Linked DNA regions of Kluyveromyces lactis. The protein of the gene in region 2 interacts with the protein of the main gene of each other region in a pairwise test. Links are inferred from orthologs where the notes say so. Each region holds a gene or a part of one and is shown on either strand. Other genes may lie near its edges.

The links.
Region 1: the proteins of SEN1 (region 2) and RNT1 interact in a two-hybrid assay, tested with the Saccharomyces cerevisiae proteins (3 studies listed by BioGRID). The link is inferred for Kluyveromyces lactis from reciprocal best matches to the Saccharomyces cerevisiae genes SEN1 and RNT1.
Region 3: the proteins of SEN1 (region 2) and RAD2 interact in binary tests that used the Saccharomyces cerevisiae proteins (3 or more experiments, as listed by UniProt). The link is inferred for Kluyveromyces lactis from reciprocal best matches to the Saccharomyces cerevisiae genes SEN1 and RAD2.

What each region holds. Positions count from the first base shown.
Region 1 is NC_006042.1:2,307,117-2,310,280, forward strand, and holds RNT1 (ribonuclease III), read left to right. Parts: upstream 1-1,225; coding exon 1,226-2,662; downstream 2,663-3,164. Other genes in the region: KLLA0_F24794g (uncharacterized protein), read left to right, coding at 1-732; ISW2 (DNA translocase), read right to left, coding at 2,726-3,164. UniProt on the Saccharomyces cerevisiae protein: DsRNA-specific nuclease that cleaves eukaryotic pre-ribosomal RNA at the U3 snoRNP-dependent A0 site in the 5'-external transcribed spacer (ETS) and in the 3'-ETS. In vitro, cleaves synthetic 5'-ETS RNA A0 site in the absence of snoRNA or other factors.
Region 2 is NC_006038.1:498,190-502,207, reverse strand, and holds the start of SEN1 (DNA/RNA helicase SEN1), read left to right. Parts: upstream 1-1,217; coding exon 1,218-4,018. Other genes in the region: DNA-directed RNA polymerase II subunit RPB2, read left to right, coding at 1-518. UniProt on the Saccharomyces cerevisiae protein: ATP-dependent 5'->3' DNA/RNA helicase required for the expression and maturation of diverse classes of non-protein-coding RNAs like precursor tRNAs, rRNAs and small nuclear (snRNA) and nucleolar (snoRNA) RNAs.
Region 3 is NC_006037.1:821,478-825,707, forward strand, and holds the start of RAD2 (ssDNA endodeoxyribonuclease RAD2), read right to left. Parts: upstream 2,803-4,230; coding exon 1-2,802. Other genes in the region: TNA1 (Tna1p), read left to right, coding at 4,097-4,230. UniProt on the Saccharomyces cerevisiae protein: Single-stranded DNA endonuclease involved in excision repair of DNA damaged with UV light, bulky adducts, or cross-linking agents. Essential for the incision step of excision-repair.

The DNA.
Region 1 (3,164 bases), on a different chromosome or scaffold from region 2:
TACGAAGGAGATTTCTCAGATATTATAGGGAGCTTAGATCTTGTCGGCAAGACTGAGTCCGCCGAGAGTTGGATGCATCCTGATTCATTTGGTGAAGTCTTACTCGGTCAGCAATGTGAAATTTGTGACACAGAGCTATATTCAGATCCTGGTCCAAATGATCTTGATTTGTGGCTTCATGCTTATCGGTACGAATCCACCGAGCTTGATTCTGATGGAAAAAAATTATGGAGTTACAGAACGGACTTCCCTGACTGGGCGATTGAGCCGCACAGAAAATTTATGGAGTTGGCGATAGATGAGGCAAGAAATTGTGGTGAAACTCAAACTGCCTTTAATGTAGGCGCACTCCTTGTCAACGGAACTGATATACTTTCCACCGGTTATTCGAGAGAATTACCAGGAAATACTCATGCTGAGCAATGTGCATTAGATAAATACTTCACAAAATCAGAAGGTGCGAAACTTCCAGATGGAACCATCATTTACACAACAATGGAACCTTGTTCTCTAAGGCTCAGTGGTAACTTGCCATGCGTAGACCGAATAATCCAAACAACTGGCGCTATAAAGACTGTCTTCGTGGGTGTTATGGAACCGGACATTTTTGTCAAGAATAATACCAGCTATCACAAGTTGGCACAATATGGAATCGACTATATTCTCATTCCTGGTTATGAGGAAGAGTGCTTAAAGGTTGCATGTAAAGGTCACGACAAAACCCAGAACTAAGCTTATCAAAAATCACTGGTGATTTTGTTTTGTAGGAAACTATATTTGTTAACATGCAATTCCAAGATAAACCCGTCACAAAGTTTGTGAATTGTATAGTGAAGATATATATCGCACACAAATGTCGGCAAAACAGTCTAACCACTTTGAAATCCAACCCTGTTTATATCAATCCGTTCATACATAGACATTTTGTAATTGAAGGTATTTAGCAAAATCCAAGATGTTAGAAAACGGTTGAAACAGCAAAAACACTAATAGCTTCTAAAGCGATTATACAGGACGTTTGTAAATGATCCAATTTGAATGTGGTATTACAGAGTAACAGCCAATACTATTATTATTATTATGCACATTATTATTGGTGCTTGTCTGTGCTAGTTTCCTTGTCACAATTCTCTGAAGTAGTTACCCTGACCATACCAATCATTTGAAAAGCTCTATGTGAACCTTCTCTTACAGAGGAGCATAGAAAAGAACTTCTGATGAACCGATGACCTATATCAAGATATCTAAATCTCTTACTCAGCACCTCAAGAACTGCCAAAGGATTTCCGAAATGATAGACGGTCGTATTATCTCCAACGACGAAAATAGAATTGCTGACCTCTATACATATTCACAAATCATCAAGTTGGAGCATTCTATTACTGATTTAGTAAAGCAACTAAAGACAGTTATTGAACTCTCACCAAATATCAAACAGTATCACCAGGCACTAGACCAGTTACCTACAATGTCTAGCGATTTGATCCCATCTTTTGATAGATACCAGCTTAAGTTGGCCGCTGAATTGACTTCATTGTATCAACTGGGTAAACTAGAGCTATTCAATAATATTATTCATTACAGTGATAAGTTCAAAAGTGGAAGCTCCACACCGATATTACCTGAACTACAAAATGAAAACCTTGATTTACTCTCAGCCAATGTTACCAAATCATTACATATAAATTCTCACGAAAATTCAAAAGCTACCGATGAGGAAGAAGAGGAAGACGATGATGAAGATGGATATGAGGTTATAGATAATGCAGTGACTGATCTAAAAAAAGGTAAAGAATGGCCTCCGAAACTGCCGAAAATCAAAAACCCTGTGATCAGGGCTCGTGTCTTTATTCATAAATCAATGATTAACGATAAACTGTATTTAACTGACCAAGAAATTATCAGATCACATAATGAAAGACTGGAGTTTTTAGGTGATTCCATATTGAATACAACAATGACCACTATCATTTATAACAAGTTTCCACATTTTGATGAAGGGCAACTCTCTCAACTCAGAATGAGATTGATCAACAACGAGCTGTTAAAAGAATGGTCTTTTCTATACAAGTTTCCAGATGAATTGAAGACTCACAATGTAAAACCTGATGACAACAAAGATGGAAAACAAAAGCTATACGCTGATGTTTTTGAAGCTTACATTGGTGGCTTAGTAGAAGATAATGGTAAGAAAAACCTTCCAAAAATAAGGAAATGGCTTGCGAAATTGGCAGAACCTGTTATATCAAAGGGACTAAATTCTGACATAACACTAGAAAATACGACAGAAGTTGATGTAAACGCCAAGAAAACCCTTTACTCTTTGATCGGATATGCAGCGCTAAATCTCCATTACTACCCTGTCCACAAACCAACCTCTACTGACCCAAATGCCATAGTGGAATGCAGGATTACTGGCGGTAAAGTATTGGGCAGAGGTGTCGGAAAGAACATAAAGATAGCAGGAATGCGTGCTGCAGAGGACGTCTTAAATAATAAGGAGCTAATAGAGAAATACGTGAGCCTGCGAGCTTCCCTCCCAAAATCTGAATCTGTGATTAAGGCAAACAATGATAATACCAAGAAGCGGAAACACGAAGGTCACAGTAATGATCGCGGCAAATTAAAACTACTAGCAGATGGATCTTTTGCATTCAAATAGTTTTTTGTTGTATTTTTTCTTAACGAGTACGATAAATGCATACAAATTCTAGGCTTAAACTATCTAATCTATAAACTGCTTATCAGTATGTATTCTTTTTGAGGGTGGTGAAGACACCACGTTAGCGTTAAGGTTGTGACTATCATTTGGTTGGTCGTCAGCAGAAGTAACGGTTTTACGTTTTCTTTTGTGTTCTACCCCTTCATGTTCACGTTGCACAAGTGTTAATAGAGTGGCTATTCTCTTAGAAATATCCAAAGGTGTCCTTGTTTTAATAAACCAAGAAAATATGAACAATGGACTTTTCAGTATTTCCTGCTTGACTCTTTCATATAGATTACTGGCAAACAAACCCAAGTTACCGACAGTAACGAGTAAAAATATATCTTCTAATGAATTGTAAGTTCTTCTGGTATTGTTGGGAGGATATAATATTTTCAATTCTACTAAGGGATACTGATATTGCTGAAGCTTCTGCTTCAAAATTGTTTCCTGTATCTTT
Region 2 (4,018 bases):
ATGGTATATCCAGGTTGCTACGTGAGCATGGTTATCAATCTCGTGGGTTCGAAGTAATGTATAATGGTCATACCGGTAAAAAGTTGATGGCACAAATTTTCTTCGGCCCTACATACTACCAAAGATTAAGGCATATGGTGGATGATAAAATTCACGCGAGAGCAAGAGGTCCGATGCAAGTACTAACAAGACAACCCGTGGAAGGTAGATCCAGAGACGGTGGTTTAAGATTCGGTGAGATGGAACGTGATTGTATGATTGCTCACGGTGCCGCCGCCTTCTTGAAGGAAAGATTAATGGAAGCTTCGGATGCATTCAGAGTACACATTTGCGGTATCTGTGGGTTAATGTCAGTTGTTGCAAAGTTGAAGCACAATCAATTTGAATGTCGTTCATGTAAAAACAAAATTGACATTTATCAAGTGCACATTCCTTATGCAGCTAAGTTACTATTCCAAGAATTAATGGCCATGAATATTGCACCACGTCTTTACACTGACCGTTCAAAGGATTTTTAATAAACATATATTGAATGCATGATATCGCTCTTGCGATGTCTTTTAAAAAGGTAATGTAAAAAATAAAATTAAACTTAAAATTAAGCAATAATTTGTACTGGTTTATAATGTTTTGTAGAATATAAAGAAAATAATTTAAAAGCAACAATTAGCATTGTATTATGAAACCCCCTTAGTAAGTAGTTAGAACTGCCATAAACAACTATATACACTATCTTGTCTTGTTCTTTTTCTTTTGTCCCAATTCACTGTTCGTTCTTACACTGTCGCCAATTTTCACATCAAACTGGAAAAGTCGAAAATCATAACTTGCTTCAAGAATTTTTAACCATTCATACTAACTGCAACATATAGTAGTGACATATTTGATCCTGGGAGATTTAATAACCATCTTTACTGCTTGAAGTAATACTTCACTGGCGTAGGGGAAATCTAATTACCTGCTACTGTATTACTTATTTAAAGACCGCACCTTTTGGTGCTGCATTATCACTTGGATATCCACCTTTTATTAGCATCAACTGAATTCGCAAGGGATACAACATATAAGAGACTCTATTACCTCTTTAGGCACCTATCCTCTAAACTTTATACCATTATTTGAGATCAGTTAATTGCTGACTATTGGACGTTGAAATATTGTAACAATTGAAATAATTGAAGAAATACGCGTAACAACATTCTTCCAACTTTTTAACGATGAGCATGAATCTAACTAGTATCGATCCTCAAATTAGATCAGTTATTCTTCCATTCAAGAATAAAATTCTAGATTCGCTTGCAGATAGGGTCGGTCCTGATTTTGAAGAACTTTCGTTGGTTACAAAGGTGGTAGAGACCGTAGGACCTCTCATACATGACAAGAATTACCATTTCTTCTGCGATCCTGATTTAGGTCCTGTTATCAGTTTCCTGGTCATAATTTTCTCCGTTCCACGGGAACAGCAGGCGATCCAGTGGTACTGTGATAAGTTTTCTCCAATTTTAGCATCGTGTCCAAACTGTTCCCAGGCATTCTTTTCTTATAAGAATCAGATCATTCAACGTTATATCGTGAACAAAGGCATTGCGTACTCTAACATCGATGGGTTTGATCTAATGATCTGCAGATGGAGATCGGATACTTTAATTAAAAGATTGGGATCTATCAAATCTAAAGATCTTTCTAATGAACAAAAAATTGCATTCACGGAATGCTTCTGGTATCCAAGAGTATTGAAACATTCCCAAAGTTTGAAGGTGTTGTTCAACAATGCATTCGATATATTGGTACGGGAAAAATCACCATTATTAGAGTATTCCTCGGATAATTCTCTATCAGCATTAACGGCAGGCTCTGTCTTTATGTTGATGGAAGGAACTCCAGCTCAGATATCATGGGCACTGGGGCTATTAGATTGGCTATACGAACGAAATTATAAAATTACTGTTGAAAATCTTCCTCTGGGAGCTCTACAGGAAGTAAACACACATTATATTTACTTGATCAGTAAGCAATTTGGCAAGGATCAACAACACAACATCAACTCCCTAAACTCCATGGCAATTGCATGGATTAGATTGACGGCTCTTTTCAGCTTAATGACGAAGGAAGTTTTAGAGCTTCACTTTCTAGTACCAAAATTCACCCGAAGTTTGAAAAACGCAGGAACAATGGATGTTCCTTCAATCATTCATTTGTGGTATAATTGGTTCTCCGTTCCTGATCCTGCTAGACCGTTGGATGTTATGTTGAAAGTACTAAGCCTTTTTTTAGAGAAATTTGGCCAGGATTTTTGGTTATACTTGAAACCATTTAATTTCCACACATTATTGGACCTTATATTTGCTCAGGGTACTTTTGCTAACACGTTATTGAGGAAACAAGATTTTCCTATCTTACGTGATGGCAAAGAAACATGGCTTTCCTTAACTGGGTCAATTTCTGACTTAATAACATGGTGCATACCGTTTTACAATTCATTATCTTCTGCCAAAAAGATGCAAATGGTGAAGAAGATATCTACTGGATTTCTTATGACAATATGTGAATGTAACAAGATGTTACAAACGCTACCGAAGCTTCTTTTGATGAGTTATTCTTTACAGTTATTGAATAACGTGTTGGAAATAGATGACAAGAAGAGAGCATTGTTGTATACGAACTCGGACCTTCAAAATGAGCTCCTCACTGTGGCTGACTGCAGGAAGGTTGTGAACCACCTGAAGATATCACAACTACTATGCGATACTGTCCAGGCTCCCGACAAAGTTTTTCCTGGCATGCAGGTAGATGCCTTGTCACTCAATGCTATGAAAGTCTTATCTCATTGTATCGAATATGATATCTTAAATTTATGTGAAACCACCTTCAAATTGTACACTGGAGGATCTGTCAATAAACACCACATATTAGATCTCGATATGAAGCGGTTTTTTTTAAATCCTTTGGTCCACAGTTTGAATTTAATGTCACTGGGATCAAATGGACCTAAACATGTCCTACATATAATGACAGCATTGACTAACGCCAACGGATTAATGATATTAAATGTTAAAGGATTAGAAGCAGAAAACCAGAACAAAATTACAAGTGGATACATCAACATTATCCGCCAACTAGTTATGAAATGTTCTGAGCTTCCGTCTGAAAAATTAATTGGAGTTCTTGCGAACAGGAAAGCCGCCCATGGGCTATGGTCCTGTCTCTTTTCCTCAGATACAGACTTGTATCAAGAAACAACTAACATCCTTTATGAGGTCTTCAACGTCGAAGGGCGTCTGGAAGGTTTGCATGAACTTTTTAAAAGTAATTTATCGACGAGCTTGCATTGTATATCCATCGTTTTGAGACAGTTAACGAAAACAAAATTTTTTGAACCATGCCCTAGAGCTATAAGAGTTATGATGGACGTTCTCTCACTCTTCAATGAGCCAGTCACCGGTATTTTTTCTGATTTTGAGAAGTTTAAAGATTCAGATTCAAATGATGAACTATTCAGTTTTTGGCGTTCTTCATGGACATTTTTGGATATGATTTATCTAGAAACCATTCAATGGACCTCAAGGTATTCAAATGTGGTATTGGAGAATTTCACAAGAGATGTGCTAGAGGTTAGCAATATGCTAATGGGTTCTTATAGGGAGTTCTCCGATGTTTTAGTCAAGGGAAATATAACTGAAGATGATCTTTTCAAATTCCCAATGAGCCCATTCAAAAATATGCTTTACTGGTTGAGGTTGAATGATGAACAGCTTCTTGCCTCTTGTGTCATGTTAATAGTATCAGCTTCTGATCTTGCGAAGGAGAAACAATTTCGATTTGATGAAATGCTAGTGTTGGATATGGCAAGATATGCTTCAAAAGCTCGAAAATATCCAAACAAACTTTCAGCGGCTCAGAGCCAAGAGCTTCTTGAAAGATCCCGTTACTTCAACAAAGCCTTGACAAACGAAGTTGTTAAAGAATCTGAAAAGTATCACTTAGAAAAAGCATTACTGAAAAAGGGTACTAAACCTTC
Region 3 (4,230 bases), on a different chromosome or scaffold from region 2:
TGGAGACCCCCACACAAATTTAGTCTTATCCGCGTCGACTGTGGGGTGGATATAGGCATCATATACAGCTTCACTGGGGAAGTTGTCATCCAAGATGATTTCATTACTAACCAACCTTTTTCTCAATTGCTTTTGGAAAGCAGTTTCCCCTTCTAGCTTTTGCTTATCAAATTGACCTTCGTTGTACCACTTGGCAAACTCTTTAAGAGATCCGAATTCGGCTAAAATCTCTACTCCCATTACAGGTCCTATACCTCTAAGGCCAGGGGTATAATCACTTCCTAGTAGTTGTGCTAATTGTATCAATTTATCCCTATCAAGACCAAGTTTTTGATCAAACAAATCTAAACTATAATATTCGACATAGTTCTTCTCTTGAAACATATTCTTGTAAACATGAGTACCCCCAAACAAGAAAACATCACTATCATCCGTAATAACACCATCTACTAGTTTCAACTGTAATAAAGTTGCACATTGAGCTTCTGCTTCCATTGGTGCCGTGATGTACGGTATACCAAACCGTGATAAAAGACTCTGAATTTCATGAATCATCTCTATGGTGACTTCATCCGCATCCCTCTTATCCTTCTTCTGCTGCTCAAAGAGTTCATCTTCTAAAAATGCAGTGTTCACCAAGTTTGGATTCAAAGTAGATTTGAAGTGGTTGTAGTCTTCTTGTTCCCTCGTTAGTTGCTCAGCTAGGCGTTCTTCTTCATCTTCATAAAAGTCGTAGTCTAAAATAGGAAGTTGTTCACGAGTAGCTGCAGATTCGGATTCAACCAAGTTATCTGAGTCTGAATCGTTACCTTCAGAAATCCTACTGGAGGTACTGTCTTTTGTGGTTGAAAAACCTTTCCCAGAAGGAGATTTCTGTTCGTTCAAATCTCGTTTAGAGACTTCAATTACGGCATCATCTTCAACTTCATCTTCATTATCATCCCGCTCTAATTGATCTAAGTCTATCAGTTCTGGATGGTGATAGCCAATTCTATTTTTAACCAGCTCCTGTGCAGCTTCACCAGTCAAGATCCCGTACTGATCTTCAGGTCTTACATCACTCTTCTCCCTATCTGCGACGAAAGAGCTGCTCGAATATGGGTTTCTATTGGCGGTGGAGGAGAACCACGCTGGAACTTCCTGAGCCTGTTTCTCTTGAGTATCAGTTGATGTCGGAGCAGTTTCCCCTGGCTCTGATTTTTCGTTGTCTTCAAACGCCTTACCTCTCATACTCAATGAAAAAGAGAATTCCGGTATCTTACTGACAATTGAATCAAGATTTTGCTGGGACACCTTATGGTCAATTATTGGAATGGCACTAGGTTTTTCCACTATCGAAGAAACAGTGTTATCATTCGATGGTCTATGCGCAGCTGAATTAGAAGGCCCGCCTTCAGAATTACTAATAACGGTTGGTTTGAAGTTGACGTCTTCGAACTCTCCATCTGACTCTGATTCCGTGCTTTCGATGTTTACCTCCACCTGTGGTATGATATTTTTTTGAACCGGTAACTCTTTTTGTCTTCTTTGATATTCTGACATCGCTTTTGTCTCTTTCAACAACATCGCATAGTCATCTTCGTTACTATCGTTATCGTCTTCCTTTTCGACATTATTAACGGCAGGATGGTCATTTGTTCCGTCGTCCTCATCTTCGTCGAGTAAATGTGACGTACTAGGTGCAAGGTCAGGTCTCTTATCAAAAAACGATTGACTTCCACCTTGTGTCTTAGTTGTTGATAAGCGAGGCAACAAAGAAGCGTTCATCGAATAATCCAGTTGTTTTTTCTTGGGTTTTGGTTTGGTATCAACTTCTTCCCAATCTAGCTGGCTCGCATCCTCTTCTTCGTCTTCATCTAACTTTATTGCCTTAGTGGATTCTGACCCATCGTTACCCGTAAGACTTAGAGCCCATCCGTTATCTGTACGTATCAAGGCATATTTCCGATCCCTTTGTCCAGATACTCTGTTGACGACTTCGTCGTCTAATTTTGAAGCACCGCCATCGTGCATTCCAGTTACATTCATTAATTTCTGTGTAAAGAAGTTCCTTCTTTTAACCATTTCAATCTGGAACTTTGAAAACTCCATACTATCTGAGAAGACATGTTCTAACTGTTCCTTTGTATAACCCAATCTCAATCTGGATTTCAACCTTAAGGCTGAAAGAATCAAATACTGAGTTGATTTCGGTAATTCATCGAATTCTTTTGAAGCTGGATTGATGGAATCCAAATCTATACCATCTAAGTCATCGATTTGTTCCATAACGGTCTTATAATCGTCAGTGTCAGTAATTCTTAGATCATCTTTTTCATATGAGAACCCTTTAATCTCCGGTAAATGGTACTCATCGTGAGGATAAAAAAACGATCCAGTCTCTGAGCCTGTCTGGCCATTTTCATCCGGTGACTGCTTCTTCTTTTTTGGTGAAGACTCTTTATCTGTCTGTGACTGGTGGATTTGCCTTGCAAGTAACCGTCTAGCAGTAGCATTGGCAGTATCTCTTTTCCCCTGTCTTCTCTCTTTCCTCTCACGGATTGTATTTAGCTTCAACACAGGAACACCGCCATCAAAGACGAACACAGGTTTAATCCCGTAGTATAACAACTTACATATTCTTCTGAAAAAACCTATGATATGGGCGTTTCTCAAGGCATCACCTTCCTTATTTCTCATCGCTTTAAGAAACTGATAAATCCAAATGGAGGCATCGACTGCCATTCTCCTCTCATTGAGGGACTCTAACCGAACCGGTTTAGCCACAGGCGACACTATATCCCATAATGAATGAACACCCATGGATTATTGACTGGAGCTGGTGCATGTGGAGGTCGCCAGTCAGTACCTGCTGTAAGATGAGTTGAAGACTGCAACAGTTCTTTACACTTAATGCATAAAGGCAAATGTATGGCTTATAAATAGAGACTAATTTGTGTCCGGGTAATGAATAATGCTAATATCACGTGAGACCCGCCAACCCCAAAGTCAAAAAAAATTATATCAGAAGCGTAACTAAGCCCCTCAAGCGGCAGTAAGTAAAACCATACTTCACAGCATTATCTGATAGACTCCGGGAGCTTCAAATGCTGTTCCCCTTGAAAATGGGATACTAATTCCATCTATGTCGCGCGTCAGCGTCAGTTTTAATTTTTGAAAATTTTTTTTTTCGAAAAATTAATTTGAAAAACAAACTGAAAATTTGAATGAACAAAGAAAACGGCAACAATCAGGTGCTGACGCTAGACAAGGGAAGATGTTCAACAGAGAAGACGGACCTGGCGCAGTACGTTACTGGTACTGAAACTTAGCGTACTACACAATGTAAAGTCGACCATTCTTCTGATACCACTGGAAAGATTTAAAAGATTTTTTTAAGTGGAGAACTACTTATCACAAGTCATACCTCTATGAAAGCCGAGTTCTTAGAGGTCACTGTTTTTTCCCGAAACTTAACAGATTTTTCTCGGTTCTGGATGAATGTTAGAAACACTGATGTGTGGTATCTGTAGTGGCTGGCTAATACTGCTCCCGATTTCTTCTGGGTGTCCCTGTAGGGAAAGGATATCGTTTAGCAAAAAAAAAAAGAGGAAGTTACTTACCGATTTCCGGACCAAGATACAAAGGGCTAGAATTGTTAGCATAATTATCATTATATTTTTATATGTAGAGATATATGCCAGTGAATGACTTGAGGTAACTTACAGAGGGGTAGTTGCAATCCGGGATACCTTATCTGTCTCAGACCCAACCAGAGTCATTATATCATCTGGGAACTAAAAAAACAAATTCACAAGATTGGGCACGATATCTATTGTAGCACATAAAACGTATAAATACGAGGTCTATTCTCCATCTGCGTCCGATTCAAAATATATGACCAGACAAACTTCTAATATAAATGTATATAAAGTACCCATAATTAATATTCTCTCATTTCCAGTTTTTTTTTCCTTTTCCTTTGAAATTTTCATTTCTTTTCAATTCAAGAGAAATATTAAAAGTTGAGCCATCATTCCATTAAAGACTTAATTAAACCTTTAAACATTTACAAGCTTTAAACCGGTATTCAGAATAATAAAGGAAACAGTAAGTAATGGCAGTTATTTCAGTGCGTGGGCTTGATGCCGTCGTGTCTAAGGATGAATCGTTGGGGGAGGAAGTTGTAGAGGGGAATATTGATGCTTGTAAGGAATCAGTGAGGTCTCATGAGCATGATGACAATGCCAG